Rattus norvegicus: one gene and its partners. The protein of the gene in region 1 purifies or fractionates together with the protein of each later gene. This does not show direct contact. Links are inferred from orthologs where the notes say so. Each region holds a gene or a part of one and is shown on either strand. Other genes may lie near its edges.

What was found.
Region 2: the proteins of Arrdc3 (region 1) and Adrb2 purify together in Homo sapiens (affinity purification with western blotting; 6 studies listed by BioGRID and IntAct, with this or other methods). This does not show direct contact. The link is inferred for Rattus norvegicus from reciprocal best matches to the Homo sapiens genes ARRDC3 and ADRB2.
Region 3: the proteins of Arrdc3 (region 1) and Wwp1 purify together in Homo sapiens (affinity purification with mass spectrometry; 4 studies listed by BioGRID and IntAct, counting the BioPlex papers as one, with this or other methods). This does not show direct contact. The link is inferred for Rattus norvegicus from reciprocal best matches to the Homo sapiens genes ARRDC3 and WWP1.
Region 4: the proteins of Arrdc3 (region 1) and Itch purify together in Homo sapiens (co-immunoprecipitation; 5 studies listed by BioGRID and IntAct, counting the BioPlex papers as one, with this or other methods). This does not show direct contact. The link is inferred for Rattus norvegicus from reciprocal best matches to the Homo sapiens genes ARRDC3 and ITCH.

Annotation. Positions count from the first base shown.
Region 1 is NC_086020.1:12,871,374-12,876,537, forward strand, and holds the start of Arrdc3 (arrestin domain-containing protein 3), read left to right. Parts: upstream 1-1,828; 5' UTR 1,829-2,064; coding exon 2,065-2,344; exon of another isoform or gene 2,345-3,309; intron 3,310-3,520; exon of another isoform or gene 3,521-3,657; intron 3,658-4,545; exon of another isoform or gene 4,546-4,892; coding exon of another isoform or gene 4,893-4,905; intron 4,906-5,164. UniProt on the Homo sapiens protein: Adapter protein that plays a role in regulating cell-surface expression of adrenergic receptors and probably also other G protein-coupled receptors.
Region 2 is NC_086036.1:57,911,635-57,916,642, forward strand, and holds Adrb2 (beta-2 adrenergic receptor), read right to left. Parts: upstream 3,169-5,008; 5' UTR 2,970-3,168; coding exon 1,713-2,969; 3' UTR 1,126-1,712; downstream 1-1,125. UniProt on the Homo sapiens protein: Beta-adrenergic receptors mediate the catecholamine-induced activation of adenylate cyclase through the action of G proteins. The beta-2-adrenergic receptor binds epinephrine with an approximately 30-fold greater affinity than it does norepinephrine.
Region 3 is NC_086023.1:37,979,557-37,984,542, forward strand, and holds the start of Wwp1 (NEDD4-like E3 ubiquitin-protein ligase WWP1), read right to left. Parts: upstream 3,188-4,986; 5' UTR 3,049-3,187; intron 1-3,048. UniProt on the Homo sapiens protein: E3 ubiquitin-protein ligase which accepts ubiquitin from an E2 ubiquitin-conjugating enzyme in the form of a thioester and then directly transfers the ubiquitin to targeted substrates.
Region 4 is NC_086021.1:164,103,890-164,109,124, reverse strand, and holds the start of Itch (E3 ubiquitin-protein ligase Itchy homolog), read right to left. Parts: upstream 3,330-5,235; 5' UTR 3,253-3,329; exon of another isoform or gene 1,877-3,252; intron 1-1,876. UniProt on the Homo sapiens protein: Acts as an Acts as an E3 ubiquitin-protein ligase which accepts ubiquitin from an E2 ubiquitin-conjugating enzyme in the form of a thioester and then directly transfers the ubiquitin to targeted substrates.

The DNA of each region.
Region 1 (5,164 bases):
TGACAAAACTGTTAGGAGTATTTTCTGCTCTTCTGGAGGATCTGAGTTCAGTTCACAGCACCCACATAGCCAGGTTCACAACTACCTATAGCTCCAGTAACAGGGAATCTGAGGCCACTTATCTTTTGGCTGAACAGGTACCAGACCATACCATGCATGCTTTCACACAGATATACATACATACATACATACATACATACATACATACATACATACATACATACACACATACATAAAAATTTTAAAAATTTTAACTCCACTCCCTGCTCAATTTTATATGATTGTCTAATGCATTATTCACCTTATACTGAACAAAATTTGACATTCTAGCAAAGTCATGGCTGTTCCACTAGGGGGAGAAAAACACCAGTAGTATTTGTTACCAACCCTTAGCCCAAGGGTTAGGCACTTTACTTACATTATCCACCAGGTGTCAACCGAGAGAAGAAAGTTACCCCCCCCCCCCCCCCGCCTTAAAATACACAAATGTGTAATTTTATGCTTAACAAGCCAAACTCTTCAGACAAACGGCTTGCCCAGTAATTATTCTTGACATAGTTATATTCTAGATTTTTTTAGCTCACATGTCAAGTCAAATAAAATGTAATTAAATAAAAATGTAGATTTTTTTAAAATAAAGAAAACAGCAAAATAGTTCGTTTGTTGTGATTCGCCCTATCCGGATTTACCATGCAAAAAGGATCTGATGTTTAACTATAGACAACCTCGTCCGATTTTGGCTATGCATAAAACAGGATTTCATAATATAGCCATGTTATGAGGTTATGTTGACTGTTAATGATCTTAGTCTATGCCATTACCCTCTAAATCCTGGTGATGTTTAGAACTGCATTTTTTTACTCAAGGCATTGAAAAAAGGAGAAATGTGCCTGTATTTAAAGATGTAGCACGGCAATTAGCATGTTGAAGTAAAAGTAAGGCTTAAAAATTAAGCCTCATTTATGTAACAAATCATACTTAAAAACCAAAAACCACCGTATATGCTTTTCTAGCTAAGACTTTTCAGTCTGTTGTAAACAGTGTCAGCTAAATGACTATGTTCAAACTGTCTCTTATGAGGTGGTAATTAGGGGTGTGAGCTCTATTCTTATTCCTGAGGATACAGAAGTTGTAATCGCGTCATTCTCTGCAATGGAGCAGTAGGTGGTGTCTTGAAAAAGGACTTTTTCTCCCGTCGAGGAAGTGGTCGGGCCTACACACTACACAGACAACTTGGTCGAGTTTGAAGCTGTAGGAGTCTGGGAAGGCAGCTGAAGACAAGAGCTGCCTGGAGCATTGTTCTTTGGCTCCTAAGGCCTTGGCTTAGTCCATTGCCACCCTGTCTACAAAGTCCTGCTTGCTTTTGTTGTTTCTATCCAAGTCAACAATGCTTTCTAGTATGAACAATATTTGTCTGCTTTTTATTACATTTTCTTTTGAAATTCATTAGCTTAGACTGGGGCCACCAGCGGCTTGCCCAACCGGTTTCTCCCCTTCCCCCACGGCTCGCACGTCCTGCGGGTCCGCGGTACGGGCGCACACCCTGGCCTGGCGCCGCCGGGCCCCTCTACCTAGCTCGCGGAGCGCGTGCGGGGCCGGCGCTGCAGCCGCGCGGAGTGCCCGCCGGCCAATCGCTGCGGCCCATGCACCGAAGTCAGGGACGCCGGCTCCACACCTACTGTACCGGGAGCGCGCGACGAGAGGGAGGCGCGCGCCTCGCGGGAGGGAACGCGCAGGGAGGCTGGCTGCAGTCGCGGCCTGCGCCTGCGCACTGGGGTTGTTTTTCACAAAGCTGCTCTTAAAGTGAGCTGGCAGCCTCCAGCCGCCCGTCTTTGTAAGGAGACCACTGAGACGAGCAGGAGCGTGGAGCAGCGGCTTCTCTGCTGCCCTGACTTTTTAAGAAATCTCAATGAACTATTTGTAGACAATCACTGATCCTGCCTGCAAGATTTTTTTTTCTTTTGCACGGCAAAGACACCGATCAGTGTTAAGTGAAGATCACATCTTATATGCGATCTTGACTTTTTTTGGTCTTATTATATTTTTATAGATTTTGTTATAATCATGGTGCTGGGAAAGGTAAAGAGTTTGACAATAAGCTTTGACTGTCTTAATGACAGTAATGTCCCCGTGTATTCTAGCGGGGACACTGTCTCAGGAAGGGTAAATTTAGAAGTTACTGGGGAAATCAGAGTAAAATCTCTTAAAATTCATGCAAGAGGACATGCGAAAGTACGCTGGACTGAATCAAGAAACGCCGGCTCCAATACTGCCTATACACAGAATTACACTGAAGAAGTAGAATATTTCAACCATAAAGACATCTTAATTGGGCACGAAAGAGGTAAGTTTTTATATTAGTCACTACATTCTACTTCTGTGCATGAGAACTTTAATCTCCTTTAATGCAGTTCTAGTCGGCAGTTTGATGAAGGTAGCAAACTTAGAAGATGTAGTTTCTCCTTGACGTCCAAGCGTGTTAAGCTGTAATCCATGCAGGCGTCTGCAAAGTGAGTGCAAACTGCACTTAACTTCATCTGTAACCGGCTTCATATCTGCCATACGCACCTTATAACGTGTTCAAATGTGACTCCGTCGTTTTACTGATATTTTCAAATTCATTTGCAAAGACTGCAGTCCAATGTTGGATTTCTCCTTTTATTTTACAATCTTAGATACAGGAAGGAGCACCAATAAAGAACTGTAGTGACATTTTAAGAAGGTTGCTAGATGTATCTGCTTTTGATATTAACGTGCAAACGACTTTAAAGACTTGATTATTGTTCTTTGATAAAGGGTTTCCCTGGCTTATTTTGACATATGGCATCAACACCCCCACGTGTTTTCCCATTTCTCCCAATTCCTTTTAAAATGTACATCAAGCACCATTTATTTTAAAGGATAATATCTATCATTATGCAAACTATTAAGTCAGTTTAGAAGCCATTCCGGGTCAGTACTTTTCTTCTCGGAGCATCATGTCTAACTTTGGAACGTGGATTCAATGAAACCCATGGCAGACAGATGGAATTGAAAAGTATATGGCACATCGGATTTGGTTTTTGGGTACAAGATGAAGATTAAGGCATTGTCAAAGGGACAAGAGGTCCTAAGATTTGCGATCTGTTGTTTAAGTGGCTACAATGTGGAAATATAGGCGACTCCAAGCTTGTTTTTCTAAGTTTCCACCCTTTGTTAGAAGCGGTTCAATCCTGTTTCGGACCAGTTCTGGGGGATGGTGAGGAGGGGCGCTTGTTCTGCTCTCAGCAGATTGGTTACACGCGTCAGGTGGTGGCGATGACTTAATTCCTAGTCCAAGAAGAATATAATGTTAAAACTGGTTATGTAATTTGTGTTTCTTCTTTCTAATGCAGTATTTTAGTGCAAATACTGGCGATTTTTCAGATAGAGGCATGCTTTTTTTTTTAAGTATCTAAAATATACATCCTAGGGAGACGTTAATTGAACTTAACGCAAGTGAGAAATGGAGGATGCTTTAAGTTACACAGAATTAATGTACCGTCTTTTAAATATAAAGGTGAAGCCAAGTCTTGGGGTTTACGCAGCTACACCGAGGTGTTCTACATGCTGAAATGGTTCCCTAGTTCACCTTCCGCAGCGTCCACACGAATGGGCCATACAGTACCTAATGACAGCGCTCGTATTTGTTTTTTAAAAAGGGCAGATCCATGAATTTGCTTTTGAACCTGCTTTGACGTCGCACCCTTTAAAAACATAAGAAGAGACAAAGGCTTTTTCCTCGAAGAGTTAAGACTTGTAGTAGGGGGGAAAGAACGAGTTCTGTGGACACACACTTGATCCGTTGCACCACGATCTCACAGTTAAGATAACTACCTGCGCCCTGCGAGGTGCCCCAGCAAGCCTGGCTACGCGTGGACGGGCTCTTAAGGCTGGAATAGTTTCAATGACTTCAAACTGGCAGCTCGCTCAAACTAGCCTGGTAGCTGAGCGCCCGCCCCGGGCGCCCAGCGATAGGCGGAGCTGCGTTTGTTAGCCTGTTGCTAAGGCGATGCCAGGCGTTGATTGGACTGGGCACGGGGGGGGGGGGGCGAGGGGGAAGTCGAGCCGGCTCGCGCCGGCTGGGGCGAGGCTTGGAACCGGCGTGCGCCGGTAAAGGTCTCTCCCGGCCAGCCGCCTCCGCCCCTCGGCGCGCCCCTCTCCGGGTGTCCCAGGCCCCTCGCCCACTGCAGCCGCCGCAGGTTTCATTGCCCTGGGCTCAAGCTCGGTTAAAAATCCCACCAAAGGCTGATCGAGGTGCGGGCGCCAGGGTACCCCCGGGGCTGGTACCTGTGTGACCCGAGGGGACATGACACAGGACAGATAGGGGAGACATCACCGGCACCAACTGGGCCTCGCCCATTGTTCCCCGGGGCCTCCGCCTCCGCGCCGCCGCCCCAGTTCCCCCTCGCTGTAACAGCGAAGGTGTCAGGGTGGCCTGAGCCAGATTGAACCGGTCACCGGCTGGGGCGTGGAAAGCGGAAGCTCGGCTTGCTGTGGCTCCGCCTCCGGCCCAGCATTCTAGGCTGCTCGGGCGCGAGCGCCGCGCGACGTATGCCGTATGTATAGCGGGGCGCGCGGAGCGCGGCCGCGCGCGGGCGGGCCGGCTGGGATCTGCTCAGCGCCGGTTTAGGCCGGTCCTCTCCTGCTCTAGTCTAGTTCTTGATTGACAGCCAGGCACTTGTTTACCACGGCGCGGCGGCCGCAGCACTCCTCAATGAGACTGCTGAGCTGGCACAAAAGGGAGCCGAGGAAGAAAGGGAGAGAGGCGAAGTTTGGGCGCCTTGGAGGGAGCGAATTGACGGGCCATGGCTCCCCCGGCCGGTCCTCAGGGCTGACGCTGTACAGGGGCTCCCCAGGAGGCTCTGGAAGCAATGCGCAGATATGGTCAGGTCACCATGATTTAGGGATGAAAGTCATATTTTTATGTATTTTCAGTACTTCGGCGAAGTGTAATGATAAGCGCCAGCCCCCACCCCATGCTAATTAAAAAGGATTGCACACCAAGTAAAGTCTTACTAGACTTCGGTATATTACCTAGACAGCCAAAAGGACCCTTTCCACATTTTTAATTTATTTCCACGACACACATACAAAAAATGATTCTGAGCAAAAGAAATGGGTTAAGTGAAAGCTTATTCGCAAC
Region 2 (5,008 bases), on another chromosome or scaffold:
TAGGCGGTAAGAGCCTGTGGGCCTCACCTCTACTGATAAACCCTCCCACATAACTCATTGCATGAACCTAAAACCTTAACTTCTTGGGAGTTACCTGGGAAGCTGGGACACAAGTTTAGCAGGCAGTGTGATGAAGAAGAAAGAGGAAGGATTGAGGGCTGAGGGGCTGTCAGAACTGAGTGAACTGGATGGGGGCGCTTTAGTAGGAGTAAGAAATAGAGCCTTTGTAGTGAACAGCATAAAACAGCTGATTTAGTTTTCCAAAGTCTACACCAGGCTTTCTGCTAAGGAGTATTTCACCCTTAGGGGTAACAGGTCATGGCTGAGGTTACTTTTGGCTATTATTTGTAAGCTCGAGGGGTGCTACTGGAATTTACTGGGTACTGGGCTGCTACTAAACTTCATATAACACGTGGGAATGCCAGACACGGAAAAGCCTAGTTTACACAGAAGTGCAGAGAATCAGGGGACAGAAAACATGAGACAGTAGAAGGGAGCAAGGAGAGGCTGAACCTGTGTTCAAGGCATGATGCATTCACCAGAGATGTTTTAAAGCTCTGCTCTCTCTCTCTCTCTCTCTCTCTCTCTCTCTCTCTCTCTCTCTCTATTCAACCAAGGCCTCTGACTTCCCGTGGAATTCCTAGATGCTTGGATAGCTTTTACACAGAACATCTTCCTCATCCTGAACACACCAAACCCTCCCGCAGTACAGAGGGCACTGCTGTAAGAGACGGCAGTGGTATAAATACACACAGTTATTAATTAAGTAAGTGGGGCTGGAAGGTGGGTGTCAGGAGCATGTGGGGCAAAACATATGCCCACAACTCTGTCTCTGTGAGTCAGGGTTTCCGAGGTGACAGCACAGACTGGCAACTGTAGGACACACTGGGTTGTACTGAGAACGGGTGGGACTGATTTAGGACACAAGTGAAGTTAGGAAAGACACCGGTTCGCATCTAGAGATCCAAAGACACAGGAAGGGCTAGGCAATCGGTGCATGCCATTCTGGTACCCTTACACATTAAGCCACTCAGCAGTTATGACACATAGTTACCTGTGGTTTCCAGTGGGAGAGACAAGGACACTCCAGAGTCAAGAGGTTTTGGAGAAACAGGTGCAATGAAGTCATGGTCAAACAATTTATTTACTGTAAACTTTAGACTTTGCTCAGAAAAACAACTGATGTTGTCCCTCAAATCCCTGCCTACAACACTCCATTTGAGCGAATAAGTGGAGTGAGAGAGAGTCCACATTCACAGCAGAAAGGTCCAAGACACAGGATATTTCAAGTCCAAGGGTACAGGAAGAAAACTCTCTCCTTTACATATGAATTTCCAGCAGCAATATATATATATATTATCCTTAATACTTGACCAGTGAGGTAGATACATGGAAACACCATCCAAACAGACAGACCAACAACACTTCAGACAGAAACTTTTAAGTTCCATGCAAAGAGGAACTGAACTGTACAAGGAAAACATTAAGCACTGAAATACAGTCTCTCTCTCTCTCTTTCTCTCTCTCTCTCTCTCTCTCTCTCCCTCTCTCTCTCACTTGCAGCTTAAAAAAATAAAATAAAAAAGGCAGAAGGATGTGCCCCTTCTGCAAAATCTCTATACAATTTTATTCTAAAGTTATTACACTCAAGTAAAATAGTCTGGTTAGTGTCCTGTCAGGGAGGGGCCGTCTTAAAGAGTAGAAAGCCTACACTACAGTGGCGAGTCGTTTGTGTTACAGTTCCTCCCTTGAGAGTCAATGCTAAGGCTAGGCACAGTACCTTGACAGTTCACAAAGCCTTCCATGCCAGGGGCTTCCTCACAAAGCAGTTCATTTTCTTTCTCCTGCCCCAGCTGATATGCGCTCTGCTCCCCTGTGTAGTCTGTCCTACCGTTGCTGTTGCTAGAGTAGCCGTTCCCATAGGTTTTCGAAGAAGACCGGCGAAGGCACAGAAGCTCCTGGAAGGCAATCCTGAAATCTGGACTCCGACAGTAGATAAGAGGATTGAAGGCAGAGTTGACATAGCCCAACCAGTTAAGGAGGATGTAAACTTCCTTAGGGATGAGGTTGGCCCGGATGACGTGGACAATATTGACAATGAAGAAGGGCAGCCAGCAGAGGGTGAAGGTGCCCATGATGATGCCTAAAGTCTTGAGGGCTTTGTGCTCTTTCAAGCAGAACTTGGAGGACCTTCGGAGTCCGTGCCCGCTCCTCCCATCCTGCTCCACCTGGCTGAGGTTTTGGGCATGAAATCTGCCCTCGGATTTGTCTATCTTCTGCAGCTGCCTTTTGGCCACCTGGAAGACCCTGGAATAGACAAAGACCATGACCACCAGGGGCACGTAGAAAGATACGATAGAGGAAGCGATAGCATAGGCCTGGTTCGTGAAGAAGTCACAGCAAGTCTCCTTGGCATAACAGTCGATGGCTTGCTTGTGGGTGGCACGGTACCAGTGCATCTGGATAGGCAAGAAGGAGGTAAGGCCCGACACAATCCACACCATTAGGATGACCACTCGGGCCTTATTCTTGGTCAGCAGGCTCTGGTACTTGAAGGGCGATGTGATAGCAACATAGCGATCCACTGCAATCACGCACAGGGTCTCGATGCTGGCTGTGACGCACAACACATCAATGGAAGTCCAGAACTCGCACCAGAAATTGCCAAAATTCCACATTTTCATAAGGATATGACTGGCCCCAAAAGGCACCACCGCTAGGCCCATGACTAGATCAGCACACGCCAAGGAGGTTATGAAGTAGTTGGTGACGGTTTGTAGTCGCTCGAACTTGGCAATGGCTGTGATGACCAGCACGTTGCCAAACACGATGGCCAGGACGATAACCGACATGAGGATGGCCATGCCCACCACCCACGCTTCGTCCCGTTCCTGAGTGATGTCGTGGCCTGGCGCTCGGCTTCCATTGGGTGCCAGCAAGAAGTCGCTGTCATTCCCGTGTGGCTCCATGGCCGGCAGGTGAGCGCACCGGCTTTCAGTGCCCAGACGCTCTCAGCGGGTGCACCTCCGATGGGGCGCAGCCGTCCGGGGGCGGACTCCTGGAAGCTTCATTCAGAGACCGTAGGTGGCTGTGCTGGGGGCGCGTCCTGCACACTGAGCTCGTGGGTGCTCCGGGCTCGCGATGCCTGCCAGCTGCAGCCTGAACGCGGGAGAAGCAGCCTTGCAGTGCACCCTGCCCGTTATGTGCACTAGACTTTAGGGGACTTGCCCAGTGACGTGCAGCAACTTTGAGCCAATGGCACCGTCGCATGCCCGGAGGGGCGAGGCACTAAGGGCCAACCCTCCTTGCCTAGCCCGCCTCCTCCTGGGGTTGGCCCGGGCGGGGCCCAAGCTGCTCCCCGGAGGCCAGGCCACCACTCCCTTCCAGCTACCCTAGCTGGGGCTCCCGAGAGAGAAATCTGGGACTGCTGTGCGACCCGCCAACCACCCAGGCGCTGTCTGGAAGTGCTACCTGTTCATGTAGGTCACCTGTGCGGGTTGGAAGGTCTCTGGACGCCAGTGGCAGTGGGTGCATTTTCTTTTAGGAACAGAAAGAACAAGCTCACCCGGACACGCACACACAGGCACAAACGCACCCTGCTGACTGGGACGTGCTCAGACTTATGCCGAACCACAGCCACAGACACCGAGACACACCCGCGCCCGCTCATGCTGGAGACGACAGCTGTCTCCTGGTCCAACACAGAGAGGTGGCTATAAACAAACTCAGGAACACCCAGAAGCAAGCTGAAAGAAACACACACAAGGGCTCCGGTGGAGACATGGAGTGCGGATCACTTAGACACCGGTGTTCACATCCAGGTACTACCCTCCTCTAGCACTCATAAATGACACCCCATTCGCAGACACCCAGTGTATTCCCTTTCAGTTATTTGGCAAGAACACAGGAGGTGACTCCAACAGCTACAGAGTTTCTAAGCACACTTGGTGAAAAATATTTTTTTGGCGTCCTCCCTCCTTGAGAACATGCAGGCAACCGCACCAAGGCAGTAACTTCGCCCTTTGCATTTCTTTAGGAATTGATGTGTACGCACTTGGGGAGAGTTGGGGTGGGGGTGTTATTCTTAATTCTTGGGAGTGTGGCATCATTTTTCTTGTTATATGGTGGATATCCAGGGATGCATTGAAAACGAAAATGCAAGAATTTTCTTTTTGAAAATAAAAAAAAATAAACTACATTACTTATGTTATGCGCATGGGAGTCTTATCTCTGTGTTTGTCTGTGCACCACGTTTGTGCATGTTTTGGAGGTCAGGAGAAAGAGAGCATCAGATTCCCTAGGACTGAATATACAGATAGTATCAACACACAAGCTGCCTTTGTGAGTGCTGGCAATCGAACCCTGGTCCTCTGGAAGTCAGCCAATGCTCTTAACCACTGAGCTGTCTCTCCAGTCTGCATGATCTTCTTTTCAAACAATTTCTTAAGTAACTCCTTTGTAATTATAAAAGTGTTAACTGTATTAATTGTATTTGTTGGCTGGATAATTAGCTAATCTTTTAGGCTATGTCATGTGAACCTGCCACCACTGGGCCTTTTCTGTCTTTAAAAAACCCCCACAATTTCATATAATTCATTATATTAAAAATGTGTTTTCTGAAGTCCATTTTAAAACTACAGAAAGAAAATGATAGTTTTTCCTTCCCATTTAAAAAAAACATCAGACCAAGACTAAGATTTCATGAAACACCAACCTTTGCAGCTGGCAAGTGACTTGACTGTTGCGGAAAAAAATTAATTTTCAAGGTTTGATTTCACGTGTATTATATTTGATAGACCAAAAGTCTTTCACATGGAATAAGCAAACATACTTTGTAGATTACATAATAACATAACAATGGCTGACATTTAGGGGACATTCCGTTTGTGCATTATTGCATTTAATCCTTCCCACAATCCCACGGGGGTATTTTTAGCTCCAATGGGGCTCAAAGAGGCAAATCACTTGCCCATGGACACTGGCCAGGCAGCACCAGAATCTGAATCGG
Region 3 (4,986 bases), on another chromosome or scaffold:
CCAGTGAAGACCTATGTGCCAAGAGCCACAAAACCTTAACTGGGAGGAATCTCTCGGAACCACTAATTCTTTACTTAAAAGACACCAAACTAGAGCCGATCAGCAGCAAATCAGTTATGCTCTTCTCTTCACAGAAAAAAGAAAACCACCACTGTTCACAAACTCCAGGCTCTATCTGACCACTTGCAAGGAGCCTTGGGACACATGAACTAAACTCTCAGGCAAGTTTGTTCCATGATACAACAACAAATTAAAGACAATATAATAGAATAATATTACCTGTGGGGTGTGAGCCACAATACAGTGGATTACTGTCTCCAGCTACTTACACAGTATACCTACAGTCAGGGTTATTAACTTTCCAGTAATTCTGAAAGCTGCCCCCAGCACGATAGACAGCCCATGGGTTTCAGGCAGGAGCTTCAGGTAATTCATGGACTCCCCTAAAATCACATCCACAAAGCATGGGTGCACGTGACCTGTTAGTTTCAACAAGGGTTAGTAGTCACCCAAGTCTATGAGCATTATACAGGCCTGCTAAGGATAATGCTTTTACACTACCATTACTTTCCCTATGGACATGGATCCGAATCATTATTTTAACTTTTTAAAAAACAATTATTTCAGCTGGGCATAGTGGTGTATACCTTAAACCCAGCACTCAGAAGGCAGAGGCAGGTGGATCTTGGTAAGTTCAAGGCCAGCCTGGTCTACAGAATGAGTTCCAAGACAGCCAGAGCATTAATTCGTGGAGGGAACAGGGTGTGCTTGTGTCTACTTTGAAGAGTAGACTACTTTCCTACCAAGGGGCGGGGGTGTTTATGATCAAACTTCGGTCACCAGGCTTGGCAGCAAGCACCTTTACCCATCTTGCCAATTATCTGAACTTTAACCTGCTTACCAAATTCTATCCTACTTTCCTGTCCTTTCCACTTGTTCAGACCCTTGCTGTCTATAATGACAGAAATCCTGAGGTAACTTATGAATTTCCATTTTCTTCTGACCTCAATTCATACTACACAATGCTACTAGATTAATTTTTCTAAACAAAGGTGTAAAACTGTTCCTTAAACTCAAAAATCATCTGTGCGCCTGACACTGCCTAGTAACCTGAAATTTATCTAAATTTAACAATAACTCTTGTGCCAACAGTAGTGACACATTCTTTAATTCCAGGGTTGGGAAGGCAAAGAGAGATAGACCTCTGAGTTCCAGGCTAGCCTGGTCCACACAGCAAGCAAGTTGGAGGCCAGTCACACCTATATAGCAAGATCTGTTTCAAAGCAAAACAAAGGAAAGAAAAACAAAAAAGAAGAATAACTTTGTTACTGGTCTTGGTTTTTACTTCAAGTTTTCTTCTCCTATATCCTAAGAACAAACCCTGCAGACTCTGTCCAAACCCTCTTAGATCCTTCTACTAGAACGATCTTTCCCTGCTGACTTCTCACCATCCTTCAGGTCATAGTTTATCGTCCTTCAATCCAGCTTCTTCGAAACAAGAAACTCCTTAACCCATCTGAGAACTACCCTCTCTGAACACAACTTGAGAGAATTCTTATATTTATGAAACGTACACACAAAGGTATTCTGGACATGGTGCATAGGCCTATGATCTCAGAGGCAGGAAGATGGCAAGTTCAAGGCTAGATTAGGCTACGTAGTGAGATTCTGCCATTTATTCCCCAGAACATGAAAGGAGCATCTGTATATAATCCAACACACAGACCTCCTCCATAATCTGTAAAGACAGAAGCTGCTAATCATTTGATCTACATATACCCCCAAATACCTCATTCTCTCATGCAGTTGATGCTTAATAACTGTGCAAGGATGTAACAGAAATTTCAGCCAATTTAAGAGATTACCATCTCTTTGAAGGCAAGAGACCTGATCAGCCATGTCCGGGGTTTCAAAAGCACAGTGTCTTAAAAGCAGCTCAACATTTTATGTGAAGAACTGTTTGGAAATGTTAATAATCTATGTCTCAAAGAGCTAAGCCACATTTTTCAAGCATCTCAATTTCAACAGCTCCAACACTTGGCCATTATCTTCGAAATTGAAAGGTTAACTAGTTATTTAAAAATGGTAATTTTCAGTCAGTTTAAGTATATAGTCTTATGGCTCAAGGAAGTCAGATAAATGAAAGAATGTCTTTCTTAAAAGGAGAGTTTTACTAATAGTTGCACACAGACTTGGTGAGACATGTCAAGTGGATTTATACACAAGCAAAAACTCTTGCAGAAACCTACAGACAACTGTGAACTGGGTATTTCAACAAGAAAAAAAAAATACCAAATGGGAAGTGGGAAGATAACTCTGGCATTATTTTTTCCCCGTTACTTTAAGAGTAGAAATTCAATTTTATGCACACAAAAAGATAAAAATTTAACAGAAAAATACCTGACATTTGTGAATTATTTCATGGTGGGAAAGTAAAATATTTCAAAAGCATAATAGATACACCTTTTTGGCAATAATGAAGAGGAATCGCTTCGAGCAAAGGAACTTCAACTCCAAACCGATGAGTAAAGAAAGGAGAGAGCCACACAATCCTAAACCACAAAATTGATCATTTAAAGACTATAAAGGCGACCGGCAAAGTACCAACCCTAACAATACTAAATTTTAAAAGAAGACTTAAAGGAAAAGGGCCCAAATCACGAGACGAGGATTAGAAGATTTTGCAAGGTCACTTGAACCTACCAGGTCACCAAAGGTGGAGATTGAGACTGTTGGTGAGAGGAGGTGCGGAGTCAGTGAAAAAACGCTAAATGCTAAAAACATGTCAGAAAAGGACAAGCTGAGGCTGGAGTCCGGGCTCGCGCCGGTGGGATCCGGGTGAAAGTCAGGGCAGCAGTTCTGAGGCAGGGAAGCTGGAACGCTAGCAAGCTGCCGGCCAGGAGCCTGAGCACTGCAGTCACCCAGACACTTCGCCGGGCTCCGGTGTCACCGGCACAGGCCGGTGCCAGGGCCAGCTCGGGGCAAGCCCGGCGACCCCACCCCAGCGAACTCCGGCCCGGCCGCCCTCCAGAGCCCCGCTGTGCTTACCCGCGCGAAGCTGCGGCTCCCGGGGCCCGCGGCCACCGCGGCGGCGCCTCCTCAGCCCTCCGCGCCCAAGATCGCCATCTCGCAGCAGGCGTCGGCCGGGCAGCCCAGGCCGCCCGCAGCCACTCCGATCCCGCACGCCAAGCGCGCCGACACCCGGCCCTCCCCCCACCCACCCCGGCCTACACCTCCCTTCCTCGGGAGCGCGCAGCGTACTCGCGACGCCCGTGCCGCGCACAGGCGCGCCTCCCCGCCGGAGCCGCTCTGAGCCTACGGTCCAGACCGGGAATCCAGCTGCTCTCGAGCATGCGCAGCGAGCGCGCGCCCGGCTCGCCTCGGGGCGACTCCACTCCTCCGGGTCTTCGCGACGGTCTGGCGGAGAGGCACGCCAACCAATAGGAGGGAGGGGGCGGGGCCAGGGCCGGAAAGGGGGCGGGGCAGTCGCCGGGAAGCGGGTGGTGACTTCTGAACAGCAGCTACCTGGTCTGTTCAGGCATCTGCAGAGCTTCCTGCATAACCCCAGGGAAGAACCTCCGGGCACGTCTGTGCTTTAGTTCAGCACGTCGCAGCAAAAGTAGGCTGCGAAGGAAAGCTCCTTGACCTCGCTTTAATATTTAGGGTCCACTAGTAGTGGTCACAGGAGACCATTGTGTCGGTAATGAAATTGTCTTGGCACCACAGTGACCAAATAACAAAGCTACTACTGATTGAGCAAGTGCATATATCCTTTTTCCTACAGTTAATGGTCACAGTAATTCTGAAAGGTAGCGTCTCTTGACTCCATGACACAATGAGTCAACTAGTTTAGAAAAGAGCTGTTGGTAGTTTTACGTTACGAGAAAGGTCACACTGCAATGTAATGACCACATTACTCACCATATGGCCCGCTGTTTTACTTCAGAGAAAGAACAAAGTTCTTCCAGCACAAATAGTACAGTTACCTAAACACCTCACCTAGGCACCACAAATTATTTAAACCCACCCCATAGCCGACTAGTTCTCTTGTTAGAAAAGTTCAGAAATCCTGGTTTCTCTTCAAGGATGACCACTCCATTGTTGCCTGTAACACCTTTAACTTCACTGCTCCATAGGTAACAAGTTCTCAGCAAAATCACCATGTAACAACACTTCTGTTCTAAATTGCTTGTTAACCTTAAACCACCTTTCTGATTCACTCTGCTGTTGTTGTAACCTTTGAAAGAGTAGTATACCAAGAAGAGCAAACACTGAGACTCCATGAATATTTGTAGGATTCAGTAAATACCATTTGAATGAACAAATGTACAGTCACTTCCACTCTGGCACGTTAGGTACTAGTCCCTAACTTTACATATAAGTTAGGGGCATAGCACATGATGCAAAAAAGAAAGAAAGAAAGAAAGAAAGAAAGAAAGAAAGAAAGAAAGAAAGAAAGAAAGGAAAAGAAAAGAAACCTCTCGAAACGTACATGACAATTTTGTGTGCCTTCGTTCTTTTCCTCTTGCTGTGGTAAATTACTGGACCAAAACAACTTAAAGGAAATGGAGTTTATGCTGGCTTATATCTGGTGACTGGAGCTTGAAGCAACTGGTCACAATAAACCAGACCTCAGGAAGTAGAGAGAGAGTTATGCTCACGCAATTTTGTTGCATATAGTCCAGGATCCTCTGCCCATGGAACCACCCTGCCCACGATTCAGATTTGCCTTCCCACCTCAGTTACCATAATCCAGATAATCCTTCCCAGGCAATGTCAACAGGCTGTCTCCCAGGTGATTCTAGATTCTGTCAAGTTTCCAGTGGACACCAACCATCGTGTCACTCTAATGCTTAAGGTCATTGACTTCACAGGTTTTATGACAATGAGCCTTTCAAAGCAACTTCATGCTCATGTACTGTTTGTGGTACTAGGAGATTACTGAATGTGCCCACTTGGCTGTGTGTTTAAACCATGTTGCCTCTA
Region 4 (5,235 bases), on another chromosome or scaffold:
CCTACAACCTAAAACACATTTGCCACTTTAATATAATCTCTTCCAAATGTAAAGCTCAAGTACCAAGTTTCTGTGACTAGAAAACAACTGACCAAACATGGATCGATGTGCTGATAATAATCAATTATAGTCCAAAACTCACATTCTCTTCCAAATTGCATCTCACCTGATTCTAATTTCTCAAAGACACTAATGAACATATTCTAAAAGCAAAAGAAGCCCTCAATCAGACTAGCCCTAAAACAATCCCCATCCAAAACCATAGCAACATTATTACATCAGCAAAATGAGACACTAACCTCTTAAGGAAGCCCCTCCGAGGCCAGCCTGTCACCTACCAGGGAAACTTCTGCCACAGTTACTCGGGCCCTTTCACTTTTATCATTAGAGCCATCTTTTTAAAATAAACACCAACTTACACCACTTCCTTTCCCCAAAGCCTTGATCTCTCACAATATAAAATTCAAGAGAGTGAGCACCATACACAGACCTTTTCTAGTGCAGGCTCCTTTTACCTTTCTGGTCCTGAGTCCCATAACCCTCTCCTCCACTGCTTTCTGTGCACTGAACCCCTTTTCTCCCACATCCCTCCTAAACCACACACGCCTCAACGTCTTGAGGCGTTTCCTTCGGCACTACCTTCCCTTTCTTCACCTGTCACATTCCTACTCATCCTCCAGAACAGCGGCTCTCACCCTTCCTGACGCTGTGACCCTTTAATACAGTGCTCCATGTAGTGGGGACCCCAACCATAAAATTATTTTTGCTGTTTCTGCATGATTATAATTTTGCTACTGTTATGAATACAATGTAAATATTTTTAGAGCTAGACATTTGCCAAAGGGGTCAAAACCCTCGATTTGAGAACCACTACTCTAGAACTTCAGGTCCATAGACAAAATCTTTTTTGAGCCAGGGCCCACTATGTAGCTCTGATGGGCTGGAACTCACTATGTTGCCTCTCATTGACAGGTCTTGCCACTCCCCTCAACAATTCCCACACTGACCACTTCCACTCTCTCTCCTATCTCAAAGCTTTCTGTGCTGTCCTTGTTATAACCATACTATTATTTGCCTCAGTGTTCCCAAAACCATCCCCACTACCTACAGCACATTTGTAATAAAGTGAGAGAAGCCAATGCAGATCCACTAATCAATCTCAAAAGTGAGACCTGAGAACGTCTACTTTTTAAAAAGGGTCTCGAGCAGCCCAGGCCGGCCTCACCTCCCAATGCTGCTGAGAGTTAAATAAACTCTGGCTCTTGTCTATGGTAAACAAGTGCTCTACCAACTGGGCTGCAAACTCTACTTTCAACGATCTCCTGGTCCAGCAAAATAGTTCAACAGAAAGCCACTTGCTACACAAGTCCGATGACCTGAGTTTGAACCCTGGAACCCACAGGAAAGAGGAAACACTCTTGAAGGTTATCTTCAGACTTCCAACTCAAGTCATGGTGTGCGCACGCACACATACACACACAAATAAACAAATCTAAAAATTTCTCCTGAGCCCATTCTGATGGTATGTACCTATAATCCCAGCACAAGGGAGGGAGAGGCAAGAAATCAGAATGTTTGATGCCAGTCTAAGTTTACTACAGTGTGTTCTAGTCCAGTCAGAGATACATAGCAAATCATGTCTCAAAACAAAAACAAAAAACCCAAAAGCTGGGGTTGGGGATTTAGCTCAGCGGTAGAGCGCTTGCCTATCGACCGCAAGGCCCTGGGTTCGGTCCCCAGCTCTGAAAAAAAGAAAAAAAAACAAAAACAAAACAAAACAAAAAAAAAAAAACCCAAAAGCTCTTGTAACTGTGCTAATGGACAAATTCTGGGACCATGGATCAGTCTGTCTCTTAAGTAAAGCTAGTTTTTGTTTTGTTTTTTTTTTTTTTTTTTTTAAAGAATGTAGAACTTACTCTAGAATACAATAAAAAGGTATTAGGCACTTGCTTTTGGTTTCATAGTATATCCTTGTTGACATCTATTCTAAAGTCTGAATTCCTGAACTCATGCACACAAAGTATATTCACTGTTCAAAAGAGAATTTCAATCTTTCCTAAACGTGCAAAATTAAGCCTTAAGTAAACCTGTGATACACAAGGTTGAATTTCAAATGTGTCCCCTAAAAGACTTTATTTCAGATGAGAACGGAGCCCTTTGCCAATCCTGGGAGTGAACAGACACGGTCTTTACCTACTTTCATAAGATAAGGAGACAGGAGAAACACCCACTTAAGAGAACAATGATGGGGGGCTAGATTGTGTTCTGTCAACTTTGAAGAGGAAGAAAACCTCACTCTTCTCCCCCAATGCTCCCTTTAGAGAGAGTTCACTGCAGCTCTTAAAGAGCAGAAAACTGAACAGGATTAGTATTCTAACACAGTCAAGAAAACAAGTGACTGGGGAACCGTGAATTTTGGGTACTTTGCAAGTTCACCTGGTCACATCTCTAATTGGGGCCCAATGTCTACTTCGGGTGCACTGACCCTTTATATATATTTTTTCTCTTTTGAAGTTGCAGCCAGGAACTAAGTCTCAAAACGCGAGTCTTCTATTTAAAAGTCCTGCCCTCATCAGGCTTCCACCTTTCAAATACGCTCACCTCTACTTTTTTTTTTCCCAAAGAAAAGTACGCTCTCAGTAGGAAGGACTGTGACAGCTCCACGTCTGCAAAAGTCGGCGGCGCCGGCCTGGGCCGGGACCACCACGAGTGGGGACAATGGAGGGAGGAGGGAAGTACAAGACAGAAGGGGAGGCAGTCACTGGGGAAGGTCCTCCGCGAGTGGGAGCTTGGAAAAGTCTCGGGGGAGCCTGCCAAGTGGCAGGTGGGCCCGGCCGCCGCCCCTCAAAGGGCCACGTCGCGCGGGCGGGCCGCTGCCACCGGGCCCCGCGCGTAGGCCGAGCCGCAGGAGAGGAGCCCCCGGGCGCGGCAGCGGGGCGCGGGGCTGGACCCTACCCACGTCCGCCGCGGCTCGGCTCTCTCCCAACTTGGGGCTTGCGGGTCCACAGGCTCCGGGCGCCTAGGCCAAGCACTAGCAGTTCAGCTCGACCTGCTGACCCACCCGCCACCCGGCTCCGGCCACCAGCCCGCTCTCCGGGCGCCCCCCACGGACACCGGCTGTGGGAAGAGCAGCCCCGGCTTTAGGTCTCGACTCGAACGCAACACTCCTCTACCCTTCGCATTCTCCATGCCTTTTCATCCAAGCTCCCTCCAAGCCACAGAAATGACCCCAGTCTGCCTGCGGGTGTTTACCGGGACTCGGGGCGGCGACGACTCCTCAGTCCCTCCGCTAAGATGGCAGCCGGTCCCGAGCCCCGACTACAGCGACTAGAGCTAGTTCACACTTAGTGCGCAGGCGCGTCCTCTTAGACGCAGTCCGGACTACAAGCCCCAACAGGCTTTGCGCGCCAGCCTGCTAAATCATTTTTCCTCACCTCCAGGTGAAGTGAATTTAGCCTTGCTCTCTACATATCCACGGCTTTTTCTTTTCTTCCTTCTTTTTCTTCTTTCCTTTCTCCTTTCCTTTCTTTCTCCCTTCCTTGTTGCTTCCTTTTAACCCCTTCTTCCCTGCCAGAACCTCAAAAAACTGTTACCAAACGCTAGGGTGTCTCAGAATCATTTGACCAGCTTTTAAAAACAGACTGCTGATCTCCACCACCAGTTTCTGACTCAGTAGATCTGGCATGGAGTGCGGGGTGTTGGGGGGTGTTTTACAATTTGCATTTTTAACAAGTTCTCTATTGATACTCCTGACAGCAGGAATCACAATTTAAGAAGCACTGTGCGGGTTCTATCCTTCTGGAGTTACACTGACTGGGTTCAAATTCTCCTTTCTCCACCTTTTGACAGGGCGTTCTTAGGAGGGTGACAGTTTGACGGCGCCAACGCGGCCTGAATTCTAAAAACTGGAAAGCATACTTCCTAACGTTTACAACAAAACTGAGAAAAATGTCTGTTGTTACCTTTTCAGATGCTTACATTAAACCGCGTGCAGGAAAATCGCATCTAACCCAGGCAAATCGCATCTAAGCCTATCCCCAATCTCCTTCATGGAGGTGTTTGTGAGAATTAATAGGCTGTGCAGTAGTAGTAATAGAGGTACTACTTAAGCACTTAAATAATTAGCAGACTTTGCTATTAATGTTTATCCTGTCTCCTCGTAAGGAAACCATCTAGAAAGTCACTTACACTTTTTGAAATACCTTTGAAACCACCATATTATGAATTACATGCCGAGGGGTTGGGGATTTGGCTCAGTGGTAGAGCGCTTGCCTAGCAAGCGCAAGGCCCTGGGTTCGGTCCCCAGCTCCGAAAAAAAAAAAAAAAAAAAGAAAAAAGAAAAAAGAAAATGAATTACATGCCGAGAGAGTTTATTAAACAATAACGATTCTGAGTTGGAAAGATGGTCCAGTGGGTAAACACTCTTGCCGTGCAAGCACAAGGATGCTTGAATCTCGGCATTCATGTAAAAGCTGGCACAGACCCCTTTCCCCCAGCACTGGCGGGCAAACCTATGAGCTCTCTAGTCGACCCGCTTAGACTACACAGTAAGCTTCAGGTTCAGTTAGAAGACAGAGACAAATGGGTTCACGGTTAGCCAGGCCTAGATATCTTGAGATTTCTGGACCAACTAATGTTACATGATGAAACCCTAAGTTTGGGTTTGGTGTGTGGGGGCGGGGTGTTGCTTTTTTAAGTATTTAAAAGTTCTGCACTTCCAACCAATGTTTGCGCACTAGGGATTATGCAGTAAGGGCTCGAGATGTAACTCACTAGTAGAATACCTGCTTAGCATTGATAAGACCCAAGATTGTATCCCCAGTATTGAGAGTGGTGTATTCTAGGAGAATCTGTGTGTGTGTGTGGGGGGGGGTATTGTTTGTTTTGTTTTTTTTTTTTTAACTAGCATCCCAGATGACTCCTGTCACCAAGCATACTATAAGATATTTTAACAAAATACTATAAATGTATTTTATTACTTTGTACAGAAGACAACTGACTGTAACGGAAATTATTAGTTGGCCCAAGATCACTGAGCCAGAAACCAAGGTTCCAAGCCATGTCATCTAGCCCCAGATAGTCTTTAATCTACAGTTTTTATTTATTTAGGGGACAGATTCTCACTATGTAACTCAAGCTAGCCTCAAGTTCAGGATGCTTCATTCTCAGCCTTCCCAGTCCTGAGATCACAAGCACGAACTACCACACTCGGCTTGCTACATGTGTATTTTATTT